Linked DNA regions of Danio rerio. The protein of the gene in region 5 purifies or fractionates together with the protein of the main gene of each other region. This does not show direct contact. Links are inferred from orthologs where the notes say so. Each region holds a gene or a part of one and is shown on either strand. Other genes may lie near its edges. The genes, in order: sntb2, dmd, dtnbb, csk and tns2a.

Region 1 (4,484 bases), on a different chromosome or scaffold from region 5:
GCTAAGAATTTTCATTTCGGTGCATCCTTATTTTGCATTTCTAATGGAATATTCCAGCATTGGTGCAGTATCATGGGATCATTTCTGAGCCATTTAAAGATTCAGCTCTCGGTTTAATTAGGCCAGTGCTGATGAGGATAATGAGTGTGTGAACAGAGCTCATCTCACGAGACCCCGCTCCACAGTTCTCATCAGTCTCGGTGTCTCTCAGGCAGGAGATTGAGCAGATCAACATGTGTTTCACTGAGCTGATGGACAGGGCGTATAATGGAAGTCAACGGGGCTCTTAAATGTGTTATCCTGGAGGCTCAGTGCCAGTGCTGGGGAGACATTTAAATACCACAACACTCACTGGACTCCACCAATGTAAACTCTGCCTGTGCCAATATTGCGTTTAAGTCAGTTTTGTTTAACTATTTGTAAATATGAAAATTAAGCACCAAGTAAAAAAACTGATATTTGTAGAAATATTTGTAAGCTGACCAAATTTACACTAAAATAGGAATCAGATATTAGGTTTCGATCCAGAAAAAATAAATCATTTGCATAAATAAATTTGACTAAACTATAATATTTTGTAGGAAGAATTAATTAAATTAAATGGTCATTAATTAAAATTTTTATTTATTGTCACTGTACAAAAATGTGTCATGATTCCACTTATTATATTTATCTTTTATTAATCACAGCTTTTCGCGTGTTTTTGCAATACAAATAATTTTTATTACCATGATTTTTGTTGTTTTTTAAATAATAAGATGATATATCCCCTTAAAATTTTAGACCATATCAACAAAAGTAACAAATCCAATATTTTGTAATATAATAATAATAATAATATTGCTGACAAATAAAATTTCTAATTAAGTGAATTACATTATTTAAAGATATTAAAGACTTTTATCTGCATTTTTTTCATGCTACCTACAATTTTTGCTTTTATTTTATAGTTTTTTTGTTTTATAGTCTACAAACTTCGACACAAAATTTGTGGGACTATTTATTAGACAATGTTTACATGTCAAAACGATTCTTTCAGGCCCACAAAATGCATACAATTTATATAATTTAGTTTGAAAAACGTGTTACATAGATTTACTCTTAGGTACGAGACTAATGAAAATAAAGTCGCAAAACAGATTCTTTCATTCATTCATTTTCTTTTCAGCTTAGTCGTTTTATTAATCTGGGTTCGCCGCAGCGGAATGAACCATCAACTTATCAAGCATATGTTTTATGCAGCGGATGACCTTCCAACCGCAACCCAGCGCTGGGAAACACCCATACACTCTTGCATTTACACCCACACGTACACTACGGCCAATTTATTCAAATCCCCTATAGCGCATGTGTTTGGACTGCGGGGAAACCAGAGCACCTGGAGGAAACCCACACCAACATGGGGAGAACATGCAAACTCTACACAGAAATGCCAACTGGCACAGCCGGGGCTCGAACCAGCAACAATCTTGCTGTGAGGCGACAGTGCTAACCACTGAGCCACCGTGCCGCCCAAAACAGAATCTTTACTAGGAAAAAAATAGTGGGGCTGGATTTTTACACTGACTGTGGTTTGCTATTGGTCAGTCACACTGAATGACACCTTGACTCCGCCTTCATGCCAGTGAACACCAATCAAAGAAGAAGAGCCACTGAAGTGGGCGTTATTTTGAAGAAAACTTGTATGAAATGTTATTTATTTAAAATTAAAAAAAATGTGCAAAGACAATAATTAATAATAAATATCGTACTAAAGTGTTTCAACACCGAACTAAAATATCATTCAAAATTAGAATTTTTGTATTGCAGAATATGGGTATTGCAAATCAGAGTTATTGATAGATGTTTAGGGGATAAATCAATCATTAGATAGATAAAAAATATATAAATAAAAAATAATACTGTGATTTCACCAAAAAAAAATGAAGTTAAAAAAGTACAGTAATACAGTACATCTGTTTATCTATTCCTCTTTTACTGTATTACTCCCATTCCTATTCAAATCATACCTGGTGTTTGGAGAAAATTGCTATTAGAGAAAAAAAAGTTATCTGCTTATTACCACAAAAAACCTTCAGTCATGCACATCACACATCTGTAAGTTTCATAACTTCAGTAAGGGGTTTCCAAACCTCTTATAAACCTGAATTATCTAATATGTCAAATGAGCCAATGTTTACAACATGAACAGTTAAAACTCAACACAATAAAACCTGAAACACCTCAAAGTTTCTATTTAGGCGTGTAAATTATGAACACATAAATAATTAATTATTCAAAAAACTTTGTTTTGATTAACGGTAAACTACAAAGGCCTACTGAATCCCCGCGGCTCGAGTGATTGACTTACCCTCCAGCGTGACCTCCTTCCCAGCCTTCTTCAGCGCCTGCACCGCCGCGTCGTGCGTAGCGTCGCGGAGGTCGCTGCCGTTGACGGACAGTATCGCGTCGCCCACACGCAGAGCTCGACTCTGATCCGCAGCTAAACCGGGGAAGATCTTTGATATTAGGATAGGCATACGGTTCTCCCGTCCCCCTTTAATGCTAATCCCCAGTCCGCCGGACTCCTGCTTGACTATCCGAACTCTGCGTACCCCCTCCGAGTCACAGTAACCGCTGGACTCCGAGTCCGACCCGGTCCCGTTAACGCGACCCGGGCTGTTGTCGTATTGCACGCGATTCGTAAACACATCCCGGTTCTGTTCGTTGCCATTGGAAACGCCGTTTTTCAGATGCGAATTGTGCTCCGGGTAACCCGCGGGCCCGCCCGGTTCTCCCTCCGCCGTGAGAGTGAGGTTGTCCCGCGTGAGCTCCGCTGACACCCGGACCCAGCGGTCGCTCAGCAGAAGGTCCAGATGACCCTGTTTCTCCGCGCGGGTCCACACGGCCATCATCAAACTTTAACTCATCCTAAAGTTTAAACTCGCTCGACACACCCACTCGCACGCACATTTCCCCTGAGGAAGGAAGAGGAGCGAAATTTTAATAATAAATCTGTTTAATAAGTTTAAACATTGGTATTTATTGCTGCAGCTCTCCGAGTTCGGGTTCTCACGGCACGGAGAAACTATTTAATTAAAAACACGCGCTGCTGCTTAGACCGGACGGCCGGAGAAAAGCGTTAGATTTGTATCTCATTGATTATTCATGAGAGGGGCGGGGATTGTCAACTTATTTATCTTTCCTCGCCGCACTAAAGCCACTAAAGCTGTACAGTGATTTAGAAACAAAGCGAAAATAATGGCGTAAAATTACTTCAGTGTCATCATTACTGTATGACTTTTGTTCTTATTATAATGCAGCTTTTAGTTGTAATAAGATAGATAGTAGGAAAACAAAGATAACTCTCTCATTAATAATTAATCAGATTCAAATCTTTATACGTTGAATAAGTTAATATCCAACAACAAATAATAATAATAGTTATTGTTAGTATTATAATTAATATAAAACAAAATAAATACGTTTTTAATATAAAATTTTAACTTGTCACTATTTCACAGACAGTTAAAAGACTATTGGTGAGCTAATTTAAGTTTTTATAAATAGATGGGATTATTAGTTAATTTTCATATTTACTGTTTTCATTTTAATAGAGAATTAAATTAAGCTTTAATAATCCTTCCATCCCGATACCATAAAGCAAAGTCCATTTTCATCTGTAGCTGAAGGGATTGAAGCTCTATTGTATTGAAGTCATGTGTTTGGTAAATCTGCTGGTCAATATAACACATAAGTGTTTTTGCCCAAAATAATATTGACTCGCAGTAAAAGATGTTGACTGTTCTCATTAGCTTCAAAGTGTTACTCATACTCTAAATGACTCACCTCAGCTTTAAAAAAAAACTCTAATACACAGCTTTATTTTATTTATCACAGTTGACAGAAAATTTATGTATGATAATTGTTTTTCCTTACACTAATTAATGTAGTCGTGTTGTTTTGAATTTGAGGGGGGAGGGGGGGGAGTATTCAAAATACAGTTTTGTGTAAGCGTTTGTGAATATGTTTATAGCACGAATATGGAAAAGAGGGAAAACTGATGAATCAACTGAGGATCATCAGGAACAACCATCACAAAGTAAAATAAATAAATAAGAACATAATTTCAGCTATTTTTCTGTCATGTAAACATCTTTGTTGTAAAATTTAGAATTGAAAAAAACAGCCTATGAACTCCTCAAAATGATTAATAAATTCAGAATTGCAGGAAGAAGAAAAAAACTAATTCAGAATTGTAATATAAACAAAGAAACATGAGATAGAAAAGTATCTCTGAACACACAACATGTCCAACCTTGAGGCGGATGGGCTACAGCAGCAGACAAACACACCGGGTGCCGCTCCTGTCAGCTACGAACAGGAAACTGAGGCTACAATTCACACAGGGTCACCAAAATTAAACAATAGAAGATTGGAGAAACGTTGCCTGCTCTGATGAGTCTCCATTTCTGCTGTGACATTCAGATGGTCGGGTCAGAATT
Region 2 (4,530 bases), on a different chromosome or scaffold from region 5:
ATATGAACTCACTCAGGGTGGAGCACAGGGGCAAAAGAAAATCGATTTTAAAGATACTCATTCAAAATGTTTCATAATAAATGTTTGATCTGGGCAGCAAATAGTTGAACAGACAAGTACAGATAAGAAAATGAAGTAAATATTGATTTGGTTAAGTATATGTGTTTTAATTTGACGGTAAATATACTGTGAAAAATTATATGATTAATTAGTCATGACAATCTATGTTTTTTAGTTAATTGTAACTTATTAAACAAAGTAAATCATGTTCTAACTTAATTTTATAAGTTACACAAGTTTTTTTTAAGCTGGTTTAATATAATATGAATTCAAATGACTCATAAGGCTTAAATATAAAAGGCAACCAGTATTTATTTGAGTAGGCTAGGAATGCAATACAATTGTTGGCATTAATATAATGTTTGAGAAATTTGTAAAAACTGAAGTACATTTTACATTTACATTTAGTCATTTAGCAGACGCTTTTATCCAAAGCGACTTACAAATGAGGACAAGGAAGCAATTTACACAACCAAGAGCAACAATGAATAAGTGCTATAGGCAAGTTTCAGGTCTGTATAGTCTAAGAAGGGAAGTATTAGTATTTATTTTATTTTATTTATTTCTTATTTATTTCTTTTGATATTCAGAGAGGCAATTACAGATTAGGAAGTGTAGTGGAGACTACATAGTTGAGTTTTTAGACGTTTCTTGAAAATAGCGAGTGACTCTGCTGTTCTGATGCAGTTAGGGAGTTCATTCCACCAACTGGGCAGATTGAGCGTGAGCGTGAGCGAAAGTGATTTCTTCCCCCTTTGGGATGGAACCACGAGGCGACGTTCATTCACAGAACGCAAGTTTCTGGAGGGCACATAGATCTGCAGAAGCGAGAGCAGATAAGAAGGAGCAAGGCCAGAAGTAACTTTGTAGGCAAACATCAGAGCTTTGAATTTGATGCGAGCAGCAACTGGCAGCCAGTGCAAACGGACTAGCAGCGGAGTGACATGTGCTCGTTTAGGTTCATTGAAGACCACTCGTGCTGCTGCTCTGTGTATAGCTCTGTTGACATTGAAACAGCTCTGTTGACATTGAAACAGAATAAAGATAGTTGCCCCAAAATGAAAATGTACTCACTATTTACTCACCCTCAAGTGGTTTCAAACCTTTATGAGATTTGCTGAACACAAAAGAAGACATTTGGAAAAATGCTGTAACTATTGACTTCCACAGTAGGAAATCAAACACTATGTAAGTCAATGGATACTGATTTTGGGTGTGTCGCTTTAAGACATAGTATTTTACACCTACCACTTGCATGAGACCATACTCTAAAAAAGCTGGGTTGTTTTAATGGTGTCCCAAGGCAAATTAAATTTAAGTGGATTTAACATAAAACAATGAAGTTGTCCCAAAAACACAAAATATTAAGTTAAATTAAGTATTTTAATTTATAAGCAGCAATTTTTCAGGTGTTCTTAAATGGCGTAAATAATGATCTGGTAGTGTAAGTTTGGTTAATCATATGTTTTTATCTTTTAATTTGACTGTAGAAAGGAATTCACTAAAACTGTAGCGATTACAACTATGATTGAGAAATTTGATTGTGTAAAACAGTTGACTTTCAATCAGAATTAAAGAGATAGTTCACCCAAAAATTAATATATATTTACTATTTCATCACCCTCAAGTGATTTCAAATCTTTATGAATTCTGCTAAACACAAAAGAAGATATTTTGAAGAATGCAGTAACTATTGACTTCCATAGTAGTAAATAAAATACTATGGAAGTCAATGGATACAGGTTTTGGGTGAACTGTCCCTTTAAGTCATTTCACACCTACCACTTGGATAATAGCATTCTCTAAAAAAAAAAGCTGGGTTGTTTTGGGTTAAATTATGGAAAATCCCATCATTTGGGTTTGATTTTTATATAAATTTTTAACCCAACAGTTGCAATTGTCCATATTTGACCTAATGTTAGGTTCACTGTAAACAACATGTCGTCCCAACACAAATTAAAAAAAGTTGTTCCAAAAAACACAAAATAAGTTAAATTAAGTAATTTGAACAAGCAGCAATTTTTAGAGTGTTCTTAAATGGCGGAAATATTCATCTGGTGTAAGTTTGGTTAATCATGTGTTTTCATTTTTAAATTTGACCGTAGAAAGGAATGCACTGAAACTGTAGCGAACTGTAAAATTATGATTGAGAAATTTGATAGTGTAAAACAATTGACTTTGAATCAGAATTAAAGAGATAGTTCACCCAAAAATTAATATGTACTCACTATTTCCTCACCCTCAAGTGGTTTCAAATCAAAGAAATTTCAGGCTGTAACTGTTGACCTCCAAAGTACAAAATCAAATAATTTGGAAGTCAATGGCTACAGGTTTTGGGTGAGCTGTCCCTTTAAGACATACTATTTTACACCTACCACTTGCATGAGACCATATCTAAATAAGTTGGGTTGTTTAAACACAACTTTGGGCCAATTATGGAAAATCCCATCATTTGGGTTTGATTTTTATCTGAATATTTTAACCCAACAGTTGCAATTGTCCATATTTGACCTAAAGTTAGGTTGGAAATTCACTGTAAACATTATGTTGTCCCAACACAAATTAAGTAAACTCAATCATGTTTACCCCAACTTTGGGCCAATTATGGAAAATCCCATTGTTTGGGTTTGATTTTTATCTCAGTTTTTTAACCCAACAGTTGCAATTGTTCATATTTGACCTAAAGTCGGTTTGAAAATTCGCTGTAAACATCATGTTGTCCCAACACAAATTAAGTTAACTTAATCACTTTTACACATTTAAGTGGATTGAACATAAAACAATTAAGTTGTCCCCCCAAAAAAACACAAATTATTTAGTTAAATTTTGCAATTTAAACAAACAAAATTTTTAAAGTGTTCTTAATGAGCAAATAAATTAAAGATAATTTCTCCAACCTGATCGAGTTTTGATGATTTCTCCGAATTCGTCCTCAAAACCTTCCTCCCATTGGTCCTGTGGGTTCACTGCTTCGGCCATGACATAAGATCCAAGCCAACGTTGGGTCCTTTAATCCTACAATTTTATAAACAGAAAAAGGAAGGAGCCCTCACCAACGCCCTGTGAACAAACTGAACCTCAGATCCAGCAGTGAATTTTTTGTGAATGACACCGGGACGAGACAGTCTGAGGACTGTTGTGATAGGGGGAAACAAGCTGTCAGGGAATCTGGAGAAGCAGAGACAGGTGGCAAACTCTGCTCGCCTTAAAATAGAGAGTCACTATGAAGGCCTGCTTCATTTCACTCCCAAACACAAATGCTTATTTTCTGGCGAGAAAGGGACTGGTCACCAAGAAGTCTGGTGACAAATGGCCAATGAATGCTCTTAGAGGAAAGTATACACTTCACAGTTTTGTCATGCGCGACTTACAGTATTCGCTTATTATAGCAGCAGTCCCTTAAGAGCAATCTAGGGTTAAGTGCCTTGCCCAAAGGCTCAATGGTTATAGCTCATAAATTGCTCCCGGTGGGCTTTAAATCTCCAAATCTTTAGTTACCAGTTCAGACTTTTAACCCTAAGGCCTCTCCACCACCCACGACCTTCATTTTAAAATGAAGATAGTTGGTGTATAGTGAAAAATAAAACAAAACAATAATGAGATAGATATAGATATACAGTATATGTGTACGTATGTTTAGATACATTTGAAGTAAAAATTATTAGCCCTCCTGCGAGTTCTGTTTTCAACAGAGCAAGGAAATTTTCACAGTCATTTCTATAATATTTTTTCTGCTGGAGAAAATCTTATTTGCTTTATTTCGGCTAGAGTAAAAGCAGCTTTTAATTTCTTTAAAACCATTTTAAGGTCAAAATTATTACCCCTCTTAAGCAATATTTTTGTGACTGTTGACTATTTACAAATATCTGGAAAAATACATTTGAAAATGTAGTTTTGTCATATAGTCATATATTTTGTCCCCATGAGGTCAAAATTCAATTGCTACACATGTGAGGAAATTTGGTCCCCATAATGTAAAGGAATACAAGGTACACACATTTTGGTGTTTTATAAGAATAAACATTTTTGTAACTTTTTTTATTCTTTAAAAACAACTTGGTGATTATATCGGCTTGCACCAGTGGTTCTCAATTACAGTCCTCGGGACCCCCCAGCCAACACATTTTGTATATCTCTCTTATTTGACACACAAGGATCACTGCCTTACCCTAACCCTATCCCTCAAACGAAACTTCACAGAAAACCTGGAGCAAATTCTGAATACAAAAAGACATCATTAGATATGATGTAACAGTTTTGAATTGTTTGCATGTCTTATAAACCGCTTTAACATTGTAATACCCATGTTATTAGGCATATATTTGTTGTTGACACGATGCTCAATTGGTATCAATGGGCCCAAAGTGTGCAAAGAAAATATCCCCCACACCTTTACACCACCACCACCACCAGCCTGAACTGTTTATACAAGGCAGGATGGATCCTTGCTTTCATTTTGTTGACGCCAAA
Region 3 (4,030 bases), on a different chromosome or scaffold from region 5:
AGTTTCCCATGGCCTTCACTGAAACACAAACAACATATTATCAGAAGACATTTGGTTATAAAAATCCAAAGTCAACAGGTTCTTTTTAATTCCAGCCAGTGTCTGGATTATACAAGTCTTTGTACTTTTACATACAATTATTTGGATTATGATTGCAAACAGAACATGTTTGACTACAAATTGTTGACAGCGCTAAAAGGGCCACAATCCCACCAGCACAGCCAAACACCTACTTACAAGCTGGCTTTGAAGAATCCTGGTAAATTTCCTAAATCCTGTGCTAAGAAGTAAGTAGACTAAATGAAAGTATTGTAACTACATGTATAGGTAGGTTTCCATTAAGCTAGTGGTTTTTGGTATAGTGCGTTCTGTTTTTGTTTTTTGATTTCTATAGAAGTGTAACATGACTAAAAGCCCCATTGCCTTTTTTATTCCAAAGCTTCACAAACAGGCAATGTAAAATGTCCTACAGCTCAGGGGTTTTTAAAGTAAGTACAGGAAAAGAAAAGATTAGGGGGGGAAATGTGCAATAAACACATAAATAAAATTAAAGTAACTTATTAACTTTTTTCTGTGGATTTAAATTAGCAAACGATTTAGTTAACAATTCATGTAAAATTTAGTTTAAGTCCATGTGTATAATATTTATTTATTGACAAATATTACTATTTATGCTTTCTCTTTTACTTTTATTATGTGTTAGTTTAGTTAAGTTTGTATTTAAAATCTTTATTTAAAAATGAAACGCTGTCAACCCTAATAAAGATTATTAAGAGACTTTTATCTTGCTAGATAAAGCTAGCTGCACACTGGTGGAAACTCATATGATTGTAAAAAGCTTTGAGTGTACAGTATTACACAATAAAAGCACCTCATAAAATGAATTAATTGAATATTTAGAGAAGCTTTGCCATCATCAAATGCTTTAAATGAATCTCTAAAAACAACAAAACGATGCAAATCTGAATTAGAGCATTGAATTTTTTCTTTGAGATAACTAAATGAACTTAAAAGTTAACAAAGGTACAAATTAAAACAACATGCTACGATTTAGGAACAAATAGGTTTTATACATGTTAACATGGAGTATTCTGAGAACATCCAGTAGCATTTCTTAAAAGTTGTCTAAATGCTAGCATGCAACATTATTATAATAATGTTTCCGGAAGACTCTTGTAATGCGGATAGAAAAACATTCTAAGAACATTAATATAATGTAGATGGAATGTTCTAATGGCATTTTAAACAACATTTGGAGAACTTCAATATATCTTGAGACTGAATTGTTATGAGATATAAAAATAAAAATTAATTTTTTAGTAATGTTATTATAACCAAAAAAAAAAATGTTAATACATCATCTAAAAACTGGTAATTTTGAACATTTTACGAACCTTCAACAATAACATTTTCATAACTTACAGAGAAACACTCAAAAACGTAGCTTTTGTTCCTTGTTCAAACTACTTAAAGTACTTAAAATGAGTTGAATCAACACAATTCTTACGTTTTTATGGGGCAACTGATTTACGCTCAATCCACTTAAATTGGTAAAAAACTATTAAGTTAATATGAAGGAATTGTGTGGAACCCTCTATTCTTTTAGAGTGAAGGTAGAGAAAAGTTCTTAAGAACATTAACATAATATGGATGAAATGTTCTAATAACGTTTTAAATAACGATGTGAGAACACGAATATAACATGAGACTCAGAAGATGTTTAATAACATTCTTAAAGCCAAAAAATAACTTAAATTCATTGTCAAAAAAACATTTTAAATGTTAAAATAATACTATATAACTTAATTGGGGGTCAGTTTCATTTCTATGTGGAGTTTGCATGTTCTTCCCAGGGTTGGTGTGGGTTTCCTTCATTCTGCTGTGGCGACTCCGGATTAATAAAGGGACTAAGCCGAAAAGAAAATGAAAGAATGGATGAACTTAATGGGAGGGGCGGCATGGTGGCTCAGTTGTTAGCACTGTCGCCTGTCGGTATAATTGAATTGGGTAAACTAAATTGGCCGTAGTGCATGAGTGCTTGTGTGAATGAGAGTGTATGGGTGTTTCCCAGTAGTTGGTGGTTCATTCCGCTGTGGTGACCGCTGATAAACAAGAGACTAAGCCAAAGGAAAATTAATGAATGACAATTGGCCATAGTGTATGAGTGTGAAAGTGTATGGGTGTTTCCCAGTACTGGGTTGCGGCTGGAAGGGCATTTGCTATGCAAAACATATGCTGGAATAGTTGGTGGTTCATTCCACTTTGGTGAACCCTGATAAATAAAGGACTAAGCCAAAGAAAAATGATTGAATGAATGAATGAATGGGATCCTTTTTAGAACCTAAAATTTTTAGCTGGGAATTAATTAAGCCACAAATGAAGTCATAGTAACTAAATGTACACCCTATTTTTCCACATTAAATGCATATACTTTTTAATTGAGATTTTTCTTGGATTCTTGTCAAAATGATGGGATTTTGTCTGCAAAAACAAATCTCTGAACAATGGTAAAAGACTGATCTTAAAATGATCACTATAATGATAACTATAATGATAATAACATTACTGCCAAACCAAAGCACATCGTGAATTTATTATGCCACAAATTAAGTCATATGAACTAACTTCTAATGCTTATACTTCATAATTTAGGTCTGCATCAAGGGAACGGCCTCTTAGATTTAGTGGATTCCTGTTGAAATAACTGGATTTTGTCTGCAAAACCACTGAACAATAGTGACTGCTCCTTTAGGGCTCATTCACACCAAGAACTACAACTATAATGATAATTATATTACCGCTAAACCAAAGCACAACATCGTTCTGTTTATTATTGCCACTTTAAGTGTGAGAGCTCTTCAAAGTAGGATGCATATTGATTTACTCAGTTTTATTATCATTCGGTAGCTGGCAGGAAAAACACTCTGAAAAAATGAGTCCAGTGATATGATTCCTCAGTGCCTTTATAATGGTATCTGTGGTGTGGACTATTCTTTATATTTACAGCAGCTTCTTAATCAATATAATTATCATGCTTGACATAAATGGGCCTTTAAAATTTAGCCAAAACAACGTACAGCTTCTTAGTGGACAAGAATGATTAAACTGCATAGTTTTTGAAACACCCACCACAGCTAAAGTGTGCTCACAATCCCTTAAAATGCAGTCTCCATAGGCAGCTCACTATGCTTTGGAGCGAGGCATATGCCATCCAAACACTCACTCTTGTCACGATGCACACTGCATGACTCACGGTCCATCAGGTTTGCAGGGACATTCTGCCACAAGGGACCCCCTGAGAGAAAATCAAATCTCCCTTACTAACAACACACCTGTCATAAGTGGCCACGATGAAGTTTAGCAGCAGGCCGATGGACTGCTCCACGTTTATCTGGTGCGTGGTGGGCAGCCGCTTGTTGAGCTGGTAGAAGATTGAGGACAAAATGGTCTCCAGGCGGGACACGTTAATCTCGGCGTTGTGGTCTAGCGTGCTCAACCCGTTGTCGCGAAAAGCTTCGATCATGTTCCACACATCCACTAGGTGAACTGCGACAGGAGAAGTAAACAGGTGAGATGATCCAAAACAGTGTTTCCCAACTCTGTTCCTGAAGACACACCAACAGTACAGATTTTGGATGTCTCCCTTATCTGACCCATTCACTTCAGGTTTTAGAGTTTCTTCTTAAGCTCTGGTGAGTTGATTCAGGTGTGTTTGATGTTACATGTGTACTGTTGGTGTGCCTTCAGGAACACGGTTGGGAAACACTGATCCAGAATAAACAATGGATGTATTTTGTTGATTTTCCCAGCACACGAGAACAAATGTACTTGCTAAACAAGGGGATTCAATGATACATTCAAATGAAAGACATGACAACTTACGGTTGCAGCGTTTCTGGACAAATCGTAGCTTACATGCTGTCCTGTACGTTGAAAGGCGAATGACATCAAAGTTTTGAGCCCCTGGGTAAAATTACATGCATCAGATTTGTCACTTTCACACACAAAATTAAAATGTTGACATTATTTT
Region 4 (4,670 bases), on a different chromosome or scaffold from region 5:
TCACTGGAGACATCCAATATCTTGGCACTTTCATCTGATATACCTACCTGTCAGCTAGTATGTAATGCAGCTCAGTGTCCAACTGAATGCAAAAATAGTATATCACTTCACTTTAAAAACGAATAAAGAGCAAAATTTTTGAAGAAATGTGGTGGCTCATAACATGTAACTAATCTAACTGTATCAACAAAGTAGTTTTAGACAGCTACTTAATGTTTATTCTTCCATATTAATAATATTTTTTTCAATTCATGTAGTTATGTTAAAGGCACATTACGTTTTCCTAGGCTGCTTTTTTCAAGCCGTACCTGCAAATACTGAGGCAGTCTTCAAGCCTGAAAAGAAATACTATGTGCTTTACACTATGGCAACCCAGGATGCTGGAATATAATTGGGTAAATTTTCAGTGGGAGGGGTTACACAGACTAAACACCACACTCATCAAGGATAATTAACTGTAGCACTGTTTTTTAAATTAACAAGTATACTTCGTATGTGGGTCATCATATTCTTCTTAAATGTCTGGGTAAAAAAACTAAAAACAACCTTTTTCCGCTTTGAATACGATGGCTGTGTCTGAAATCACATACTTCCAGACTATATAGTACATGAAAAACATATTATATTCATTCATTCATTTTATTTTTGGTTCAGTCCCTTTATTAATCCGGGGTCACCACAGCGAAATTAACCGCCAACTTATCCAGCACGTTTTACGTAGCGGATGCCCTTCCAGCCGCAACCCATCCCTGGGAAACATCTACACATCATCATTCACACTCATACACTACGGACAATTTAGTGTACCCAATTCACCTGTACCAATTTGACAATTGAATTTGACAGAGACACTGACTACATTTACATCAGTAATCAAATTATTTGCCTTAATCTAATTAAGACAATAATATTATTATGGTGTACACGAGTTGCTTTTTGAATGTTCCTTTCATGATCAAGTTTTACATGTTATAGCACATTATTCGATTACCATCATTGCGTCACCATGCTATCCACATTTTCTCCAGAGTTTCATGTCATTTTGAGTTTTTTTAGTTTTCATTTTTCCACTTTAACTGCAGTTTGGTTCTTTCACTTTCATTCAGGAACATTTCATGCATGCACCCGTGACAAACAAGATATTGGATGCAACTATGAATTGTTGGATGTGTGTTGTTTTAATGGAATTTCATACCGCTCGCTGAATGGAAAAAAAAAACTTTGCATTTCACAGTGCATGTGTCTGTGGTCCTTAACTGACTCTAGGTGCAAAGAATAGTGTCAAACAGCCGTGTGTGTGTGTGTGTGGACTATCCAGTCGCAAAACGCAGCAAAAAGTCCTACATGATGGTAATAGTTTAATTAAGCTGTTTACATGTCTGTTCTGCACTTCAATAATGAAGTATCGACATACTCCACATGTCTTAATTCGATTTCTCTTTAGTTCAATTATAATCTTAATCGGATTAAATTAATCAAAAATCACTCCTAACCAGAGTATTGTCTTAATCGTATAAAAATCTGATTATTGGTGTCCATGTTAACAAACTCATTATTGAGTATGTTTACAGTACTGTAAAATACTTCCTTACACAAAAAAAATGTAAAAACTGCTCGCTTTTCTAGTGAAAACTTCATTTTTTCATGGCAAGGTTGACATTTGCATGGAATTGCTCATTTAATATTGTTTATGTACACAAGTGGAGTCACATTTGTGCATTTTCTCCAGTCAAGCCCATTCCAAAGATTTGACTGCGTACAGGACTACGTACAATGTGAACCATTATTATGACACTTTTACTTTTTGTCATCATAAAGCCATTCTCTATTCACTATGAAAATGTTAGAAGCAAGAACAGCCAATAGAAATCTGGTTTGAAACAGCATGATAGTTACAATTCTCCTTATTTGGGGAAGCGTGTCTTTAAAGTCTGCACTTTAGCAGGAGGAAGTGACCTTTGGATTTCAACCTTTATAAATGCAACTCATTAATATTAATAAAGGCAAAAACACAGAGAGACCTTTCTGCTATGATTTGAATAACCGTCTTTTTAACATGGGATTTTTTTTTCTTTTTAAATACCATGACAGGTTGGGTCACAAATGACTCTGGTGGTGTTTATTAGTAAATAAGTTTACTATTTCCTTTTAAAAAGGGTATTATTATGGGTCAACTATGTACAGGCCAGACCTACATTCAGATGTTGTTATTAAACATTCAAGAAACCATGACAACATAATCCAAAATGATGCTGATGGGGAACAGAACGGATGGTCCAAAAAAAGACAATGCATCTCAAAATGGCATTAGTCCATTTCGCCTTCTCGCACCCAGTGCATTCTGGGAACAAACCCTTTGCATCTTGAGCATATGCTTTATTTAAGATGATTAACAAAACATGAAGGACACGTTTTTGTCTCATGCAGCAGCTTCAAGTGGCTCTTATTTAGACAGCTGTAAAACAGACCCATCGCATTCAGATTCGCAAACACAATGCGTCCATTATGAGACGTCCAAGTAGATACTAAAAATATGGTTAATATCACGCAGTTACATTAGCGAAAACAAAAACACATTACCTATAGGTGTTCTGCAGATGATGGTGTCCAAATGCCTTGAAGTTGTAGATGTTTTAAGATCGTCCACTTAGTCCATGTGTGGGTCAAACCCACCAGAATGCATCAACACGAGATACAGACGTGATCATTCACACATTCGGCGTCAAATAGATCTTCCAACGAGCTTTCCTTTAACATCAACCCAGACAAAAGATGTTCGGTTCGTCCGTGCATACAAATATACCCGCAAAAAACCGTTAAAGACAGCGGCGGTTATATATACGCCTCACATACAAAACACACAGCGCGGGAAAGAAAACAAACGGTTCAGCCCCCCAAAAAAACGCAACTGTTGCAGCTTATTACTGACCAGGGAAGTCGATAAATGCTACGCCGCCTAAAGCGAGCAGTTTTTAAGCTTTACGGAAGCGCAGCACACCCTAGGGCTCCAGCTGTCTTTTACACACACACATTCACAGGCCCTTGAAAAGGAAACGCACTTCTTCAGACAGCCCCGTTTGTTGTGCGCATGCGTCGTAATGCTACGAATTCTACTACTGCGAGGGCATATGGCTTCTCAATATTAAATATGTGAGGCTAAAGAAAATTTTCCGAAAACAAGAGTAAAGCAGGATTAATGACAAATGTTACTGTGAATATGTCAATATTAACGAGGTTTACAAAATAGACACTGAGCAATGTTAGCATTGACTGCTTAACATTCATAAGATAGTCCCTTACCGTGGTAGGATTCATAAGTTTGCAGCAGGAGCGACAGCAAGCGTTTTTAAAGAGAATTGCAACAATAAAGCCATTCAAATGTAATATATAAAGCAAGGGTGCCCAAACTTTTTCTTACGAAAGGCCAAAATCTAAACATGATTGAGGGTGGTGGACTGAAGCCAAACATATCAAACTGCTTTACATTAAAGTTGTCATGGTAACTCCCTAATTTAATAATATAAAAAAACTATAATCGTATGAATACTTGTATATGTATTTTAAATTTTGTAAGGTACTTCTTACAATAAAACCATAAACAATTTTATTTATAACATAAAAATCGTTCAACATTTAAAAAAAAAAATGTGTATAAGGATTTCATTGCCCTGGTAAAATCTGATTCATTCACATTCAAAGTTTTGTTTTTTTGTAGCTCTGCAATTAAACCAACAAACAAAAGATTATGTAAAATTAGAACTGACGACCTCTTGCCCCAACCTTCCCCATCATTTGTCCATGTCTTCTATGAATCAAAGATTATCATGGGCCAATTTTGGCCCGCGGGCCCTAGTTTGGGCATCTCTGATTTAAAGAAACTCTTAGACCAGAATTTTAATGTGAATTTGTAAATGCAAGAGGTAGGTGACTCTTTTTCTATCCAGTAGAAAAATTAGGAACATTTTTAGCTGAGAATGCAAGTCACAAGCTTCTGACATTTTGATATGGAGCCAGATGAGTCTCAAAAATAGTAAATTTGCAATATATTATTCATACATCCACAACACAAGAAACATTTACAAAATCCAATTGGTAACTTTAAAAACACAATTCGAAAGTTCAAAACACAATTTGTAATTACACAAATCCTGTTCGTAATTTCAAAACACGATTCATAAATACAAAAATCTAATTCATAAATTTGAAACAGGATTTAAAGCTGCAAAAATCCAATTAGTAAATTCAAAACACGATTCATAAATACAAAATTCCAGTTTGGAATTCATAACAGGATTTGAAAATGCACAAATACAATTTAAAAGCTCAAAAAAAATCGTAAATGCACAAATCCAATTCGTAAATTCAAAACACGATTCGTAAATGCACAAATTCAATAAGAAAGATTTAAAAAATGATTCCTGAATACACAAATCCATTTTAAAAGTTCAAAACATGATTTGTAAATACACAAATCCAATTCAAAAGTTCAAAACACAATTTATAAATACACAAATCCAATTCATAAATTTTAAGCATGATTTAAAAATGTATAAATCCAATTAGTAAATTCAAAACACGATTCATAAAAACACAAATCCAATTCGAAAGTTCAAAACACTATTTATAAATAAACAAACGCAATTCATAAATTTAAAATACAATTTAAAAGT
Region 5 (4,678 bases):
CTTTGTGAAGTGATTACCTTGCTGTTCTAAATGTGAACTCACACCTCTGGTGGCTAAAGCGTCAATATAGTGGGAAGTCATTAATTTTCAATGGAAGCCAGCGGCAACAAGCAGCGAGAAGTGAGGCGCCACATTTTCGCTGGTGTGAGCAGAGGAGAGTTGAAATCAAGTCAACTCTATGGTAATGAGCTATGATGCGGTTCAGCGGCAACCAATCGGAATGTAGAAGTCCATTAGATCGCAGACAACACAGTCCTGTGAACTTTGGTACCAACCACAGTTGTTCCTATCTATACGACAGTACGAAACAGTATTGCTGCTTCAGAATATTTCACACATATGGACGTATTGGATAGGTGGAACAAAGCCACAACACATGCAACAACTAGATCTTCCACAGTCAAATGAATTTGATAAAAGGTGTGCAACATTTTCAAACTAGAAAGCATGTTTTTATGCAGGAATGTAAGTGATTTGCTGATATGCAACAGCCCCTTTAAAAACAAGATAGCGAATTTTGACGATCTCGTCGGCAGTGCTGTAAAAGCAGACATCATCGTCGACCGGGCGGCCAGAGCAAACTTTGATACTCTCGTTGCCTGTGGTGTGAACGCATAGTAAGTGGCCCACAGTGGACGCACAATCTATAAGCAAATATAAGGTTATTTAATATAATACTATGTAGATAGCGCTTTATGGTGTTGGTCCCATCCATTTCATCACCGCGGACCGCTCAATGTTTCAACAATTACACAGCAGACCAGGGTTGGAGCAGGGTTTCGTAGGTTGCTTTCTGTTTCTTACTCATTTTGCTGCTTGTAGGTTCATTTTGACGCTTAAGTGACCGAGATAAAAGTGAGAAAATATGGTCACTTTTCAAAATTAAAGATCGTTCAGACTCGAATAATAAATAAAATTGAAATAATTAATGATTTCTTGTGTGACCCCATACCAATTGGCATCCTAGGTTACTTAATGGGATAGTTACTTAAGCGTTAAAAGAACATTCCTTGGGCATTCTGGATTACAAGGGTTTCCTACAGATTGAAAGTGTGTGATTACTACAATTGCATTGCTAGGTAATTTACTATTGCGTTTTGGCTAGTTTCTAAAAAGTTGCTATGTGGTTGCTAGGGTATTCTGGGTTGTAACTAGATTGTACATTTTGATCACTAACATGTTCAAAGTCACTGTAATATCCAAGTCACTAGAAATAGTTAAGGTCCTTTCTTAAATATACGTCTTGATTTTTTCCTACAAGATAAACATTAATCTTTTATATGGGAAAGATCAAACACACCACTCCCCAATAAATTGCATGATTTGAGGTATCGTTGGATGTGCCTCTAACACTAAAAATGAGCAATTAAGGAAGAAAAGTCAACAGTCGTTTGTTTACGTTCTGAAAGACAGATCACTTGAGCACAATGGTGTGTGTGTTTCTGGGAAAAGTAGGGGGTGGGGGCTGATATCCTCTTGATGTTGGCTTGTGAGTTGTGTACGTTTGGCTGACCGTACGCAGGCTAAGAGTGCTAATAGACTTTTGATTTAATAGGCATATTCTCACCTTTGTTTACATACGTGTGCTCACGAGAGACAGATGAGTGTGAACTGGCGAACATGTGTGTGTGTTTGAATTAAAGCCAGGAAAAGGGGAAGGGCTTCGAGTGAGCGAACAAAAACAGCTGCCTCTTGTGTGCTCGGGAAACCTCATCCAGAGAGAGGGAGAGAGAAGAGACGGACCAGCAGGGTCCAGGCCTCTATATGGGTTGCGCCTTAAGTGGGGATAGCTGTGGGGACGAGCCAGATCCAGTACCCGTGAGAGGGTCTTTAAGGAGGGAGAGAGCAAAATCCAGGGGAAACATGAGGCTGACCAAGGTGGGTGCTTCCCGTATTTGTTTACAGGTGATGAGTTCATGTTTATTTGTATGCTGCAGTGTCGGATGATCAAGTGTCTGCTTGTGGTAAAGGAACTGTGTTTGTCTGAATGTCAGTCAAAAGTTTTGCAACTTCTTGTAGCAAGAGATGTTACTCCCTTCCAGCGAAGACAGCATCAGATAAGGATGAATTTGCAACTTGTCAAAGTATATTATGCAGTACTACACCTTTGTTTTGCTTTCCTTGATTTTCATATGTTCACTAAAATAGGATAAACATTTTGAAGAAAATATGAGGTATGCTTACTTATGCAGAACTTGTGTATTTGCCAGAGTGTTGCTTGATAAGCTGCTCTGGATAGATGTAAGGGGTACTATGGGGTGTTGCTCAGGTATTCTGCTGCTTTATAGAGTATTTTTAAGAAATGTTGTAGTGTTTTGTGTGGTTGATAATGTATTTTGAATGATGCCAATTCTCTGAAGACTGATTATGCGATTGTTGAGCAAACAATTTTTTTTGTTTGTTGTTGTGGCTGTTGTTTTTGGTGCTGTATTTTGATGTTTAGTTTGGTACTCAGGTGATTGTTTTGGTTGGTTAGATTAGGTAAGTGTTAAGGGTTTGTTTCCCTTGTGTTCTGGGTAAAGGTTGGGGCTTCTAGTGGTTGCTGCTAAGATATTTTATTTGGGTGGTTAAGGTTCTTGGTTGTGTGTTCTAGGTAAAGGTTGGGGTTTCTAGTGGTTGCTGCTAAGATATTTTGATGGTTACTTTGGTACACCAGTGATAATTAGGTTAAGGTTCTTTGGTTGTGTGTTCTACATAAAAGTTTGGGTTTTCTAGTGGTTGCTGCTCAGATATTTTGATGGTTATTTTGGTACACTGGAGATGGTTTGGGTGGTTAGGTTAAGGTTCTTGGTTGTGTGTTCTGGGTAAAGTTTGGGCTTTCTAGTGGTTGCTGCTAAGATAATTTGATGGTTACTTTGGTACACTGGTGATGGTTTGGGTGGATAGGTTAAGGTTCTTGGTTGTGTGTTCTAGGTTAAGGTTGGGGTTTCCAGTGGTTGCTGCTCAGATATTTTATGGTTAATTTGGTACCCAAGTAATGGTTTGGGTGGTTAAGTTAAGGTTCTTGGTTGTGTGTTCTAGATAAAAGTTGGGGTTTCTAGTGGTTGCTGCTTAGATATTTTGATGGTTACTTTGGTACACCGGTGGTGATTAGGTTAAGGTTCTTGGTTGTGTGTTCTGGGTAAAGGTTGGGGTTTCTAGTGGTTGTTGCTAAGATATTTTGATGGTTATTTGGTACACTGGCGATGGTTTGGGTGGTTAGGTTAAGGTTCTTGGTTGTGTGTTCTGGGTAAAGGTTTGGGTTTCTAGTGGTTGCTGCTAAGATATATCGATGGTTACTTTGGTACACTGGTGGTGTTTTGGGTGGTTACGTTAAGGTTCATGGTTGTGTTCTGGGTAAAGGTTGGAGTTTCTAGTGGTTGCTGCTAGGATATTTTAATGGTTATTTTGGTACACCGATGTGGTTTGGGTGGTTAGGTTAAGGTTCTTGGTTGGATGTTCTGGGTAAAAGTTAGGGTTTCTAGTGGTTCCTGGGGTATTAAGATGGTTTCTTTGGTACTCTGGTGCTTGTAAAAGTTTTTGGTGGTTTCTTAAATATTAATACTCCAATATACAAACTGTAAGTCTCTGGAATCCCACCACTTCATGTTTTGTTTTTTTCCTGCACAATGTGAAAACTCTTAGATGATTTAGGTGACATTTAAGATACCAATGTTCTGTGTTTGTGAAAATGCTAGATTAACCATTCCAGGTCAGTCAAATTGTGTAAGGATGAGCATTTCGATTCTGAAATAACAATGTCTCTCTGATTGTTGACACTGACAAAGAAGGACTGGAAAACTTGAGGAGGGCTTGATTGTGTGTTTACATGCCTGAGAGTGAAAGTCTATAATGGTCTGGTCCCTGAGGCTGGTTCACGTGCAGTGCAGCGTGGGAACTTCAAGCCCTCTGCATGATGTCACAGAGTTGCAGCTGATCCTGTAAAGCAGGCCTGGGAATCATTATTTTTCTCTACACATTTATACAGCCATGCCACTTTCATATTTCACCGCAGATCCATAATCTGTGCCCAAACACATACAAATTTTAGTCTTGTCACTATGGGATTGCAAAAGAGTCCATCCACTGCCCTGTTGATGTTTTAATAGCAAACTTGCATAAGGTTGAGGTTTCTTTTGAATGCTTCCTCCTACAACTATAACCATAATATTTGTTTTTACAGACATTTTTGATTTTAATACAAGCCCAGTTTCTTTTCTTTTTCTGTGGCTGCAGAGTTTAATGGTAATACTCCTAAATCAGTATATGATCATGTCACGTAGAAACATTTTTGGTCTGCTGATGGGATTATAATGAAACACTGTCTCATGCAAGCATATAACCCATTTATGATGCTATAGTTACACAATCTGACATATAACTGTTGTTTTTTAGTTCCCAGTGGAACAAGATAATGCTTCCTAGATCAACTTTTGCAGGATCTGAACTTACGACCCCTCAGATCTTTAACTTCACTCTGCACCCATGCAATCATTGCAGATTGAATTATGAGTTGCCCTTGGCTATTTACTGTTTTTGTTTAACAAATAGAGGCTTTAGCTTGTCAGAATCTTACCCTCACTGAGCTGCTATTGTCTTAGCGTGACAAACAGCAAGTCTTCACTCCTGTCTCTGTCTTGTAAGTCTCCAGGCTGTTTTGCATTGTGTCATTCTTTGTCTCTAAGGGACAGCTGTACTT

What was found.
Region 1: the proteins of tns2a (region 5) and sntb2 purify together in Homo sapiens (affinity purification with mass spectrometry; 4 studies listed by BioGRID and IntAct, with this or other methods). This does not show direct contact. The link is inferred for Danio rerio from reciprocal best matches to the Homo sapiens genes TNS2 and SNTB2.
Region 2: the proteins of tns2a (region 5) and dmd purify together in Homo sapiens (affinity purification with mass spectrometry; 3 studies listed by BioGRID and IntAct, with this or other methods). This does not show direct contact. The link is inferred for Danio rerio from reciprocal best matches to the Homo sapiens genes TNS2 and DMD.
Region 3: the proteins of tns2a (region 5) and dtnbb purify together in Homo sapiens (affinity purification with mass spectrometry; 3 studies listed by BioGRID and IntAct, with this or other methods). This does not show direct contact. The link is inferred for Danio rerio from reciprocal best matches to the Homo sapiens genes TNS2 and DTNB.
Region 4: the proteins of tns2a (region 5) and csk purify together in Homo sapiens (affinity purification with mass spectrometry; 6 studies listed by BioGRID and IntAct, with this or other methods). This does not show direct contact. The link is inferred for Danio rerio from reciprocal best matches to the Homo sapiens genes TNS2 and CSK.

What each region holds. Positions count from the first base shown.
Region 1 is NC_133200.1:37,489,131-37,493,614, reverse strand, and holds the start of sntb2 (beta-2-syntrophin), read right to left. Parts: upstream 3,150-4,484; 5' UTR 2,895-3,149; coding exon 2,351-2,894; intron 1-2,350. UniProt on the Homo sapiens protein: Adapter protein that binds to and probably organizes the subcellular localization of a variety of membrane proteins. May link various receptors to the actin cytoskeleton and the dystrophin glycoprotein complex.
Region 2 is NC_133176.1:12,469,582-12,474,111, forward strand, and holds the start of dmd (dystrophin), read right to left. Parts: upstream 3,170-4,530; 5' UTR 3,040-3,169; coding exon 2,958-3,039; intron 1-2,957. UniProt on the Homo sapiens protein: Anchors the extracellular matrix to the cytoskeleton via F-actin. Ligand for dystroglycan.
Region 3 is NC_133192.1:39,012,078-39,016,107, forward strand, and holds part of dtnbb (dystrobrevin, beta b), read right to left. Parts: intron 3,964-4,030; coding exon 3,883-3,963; intron 3,547-3,882; coding exon 3,333-3,546; intron 19-3,332; coding exon 1-18.
Region 4 is NC_133200.1:21,921,893-21,926,562, forward strand, and holds the start of csk (tyrosine-protein kinase CSK), read right to left. Parts: upstream 2,930-4,670; 5' UTR 2,581-2,929; intron 1-2,580. UniProt on the Homo sapiens protein: Non-receptor tyrosine-protein kinase that plays an important role in the regulation of cell growth, differentiation, migration and immune response.
Region 5 is NC_133198.1:10,584,503-10,589,180, forward strand, and holds the start of tns2a (tensin-2), read left to right. Parts: upstream 1-1,702; 5' UTR 1,703-1,764; coding exon 1,765-1,878; intron 1,879-4,678. UniProt on the Homo sapiens protein: Tyrosine-protein phosphatase which regulates cell motility, proliferation and muscle-response to insulin. Phosphatase activity is mediated by binding to phosphatidylinositol-3,4,5-triphosphate (PtdIns(3,4,5)P3) via the SH2 domain.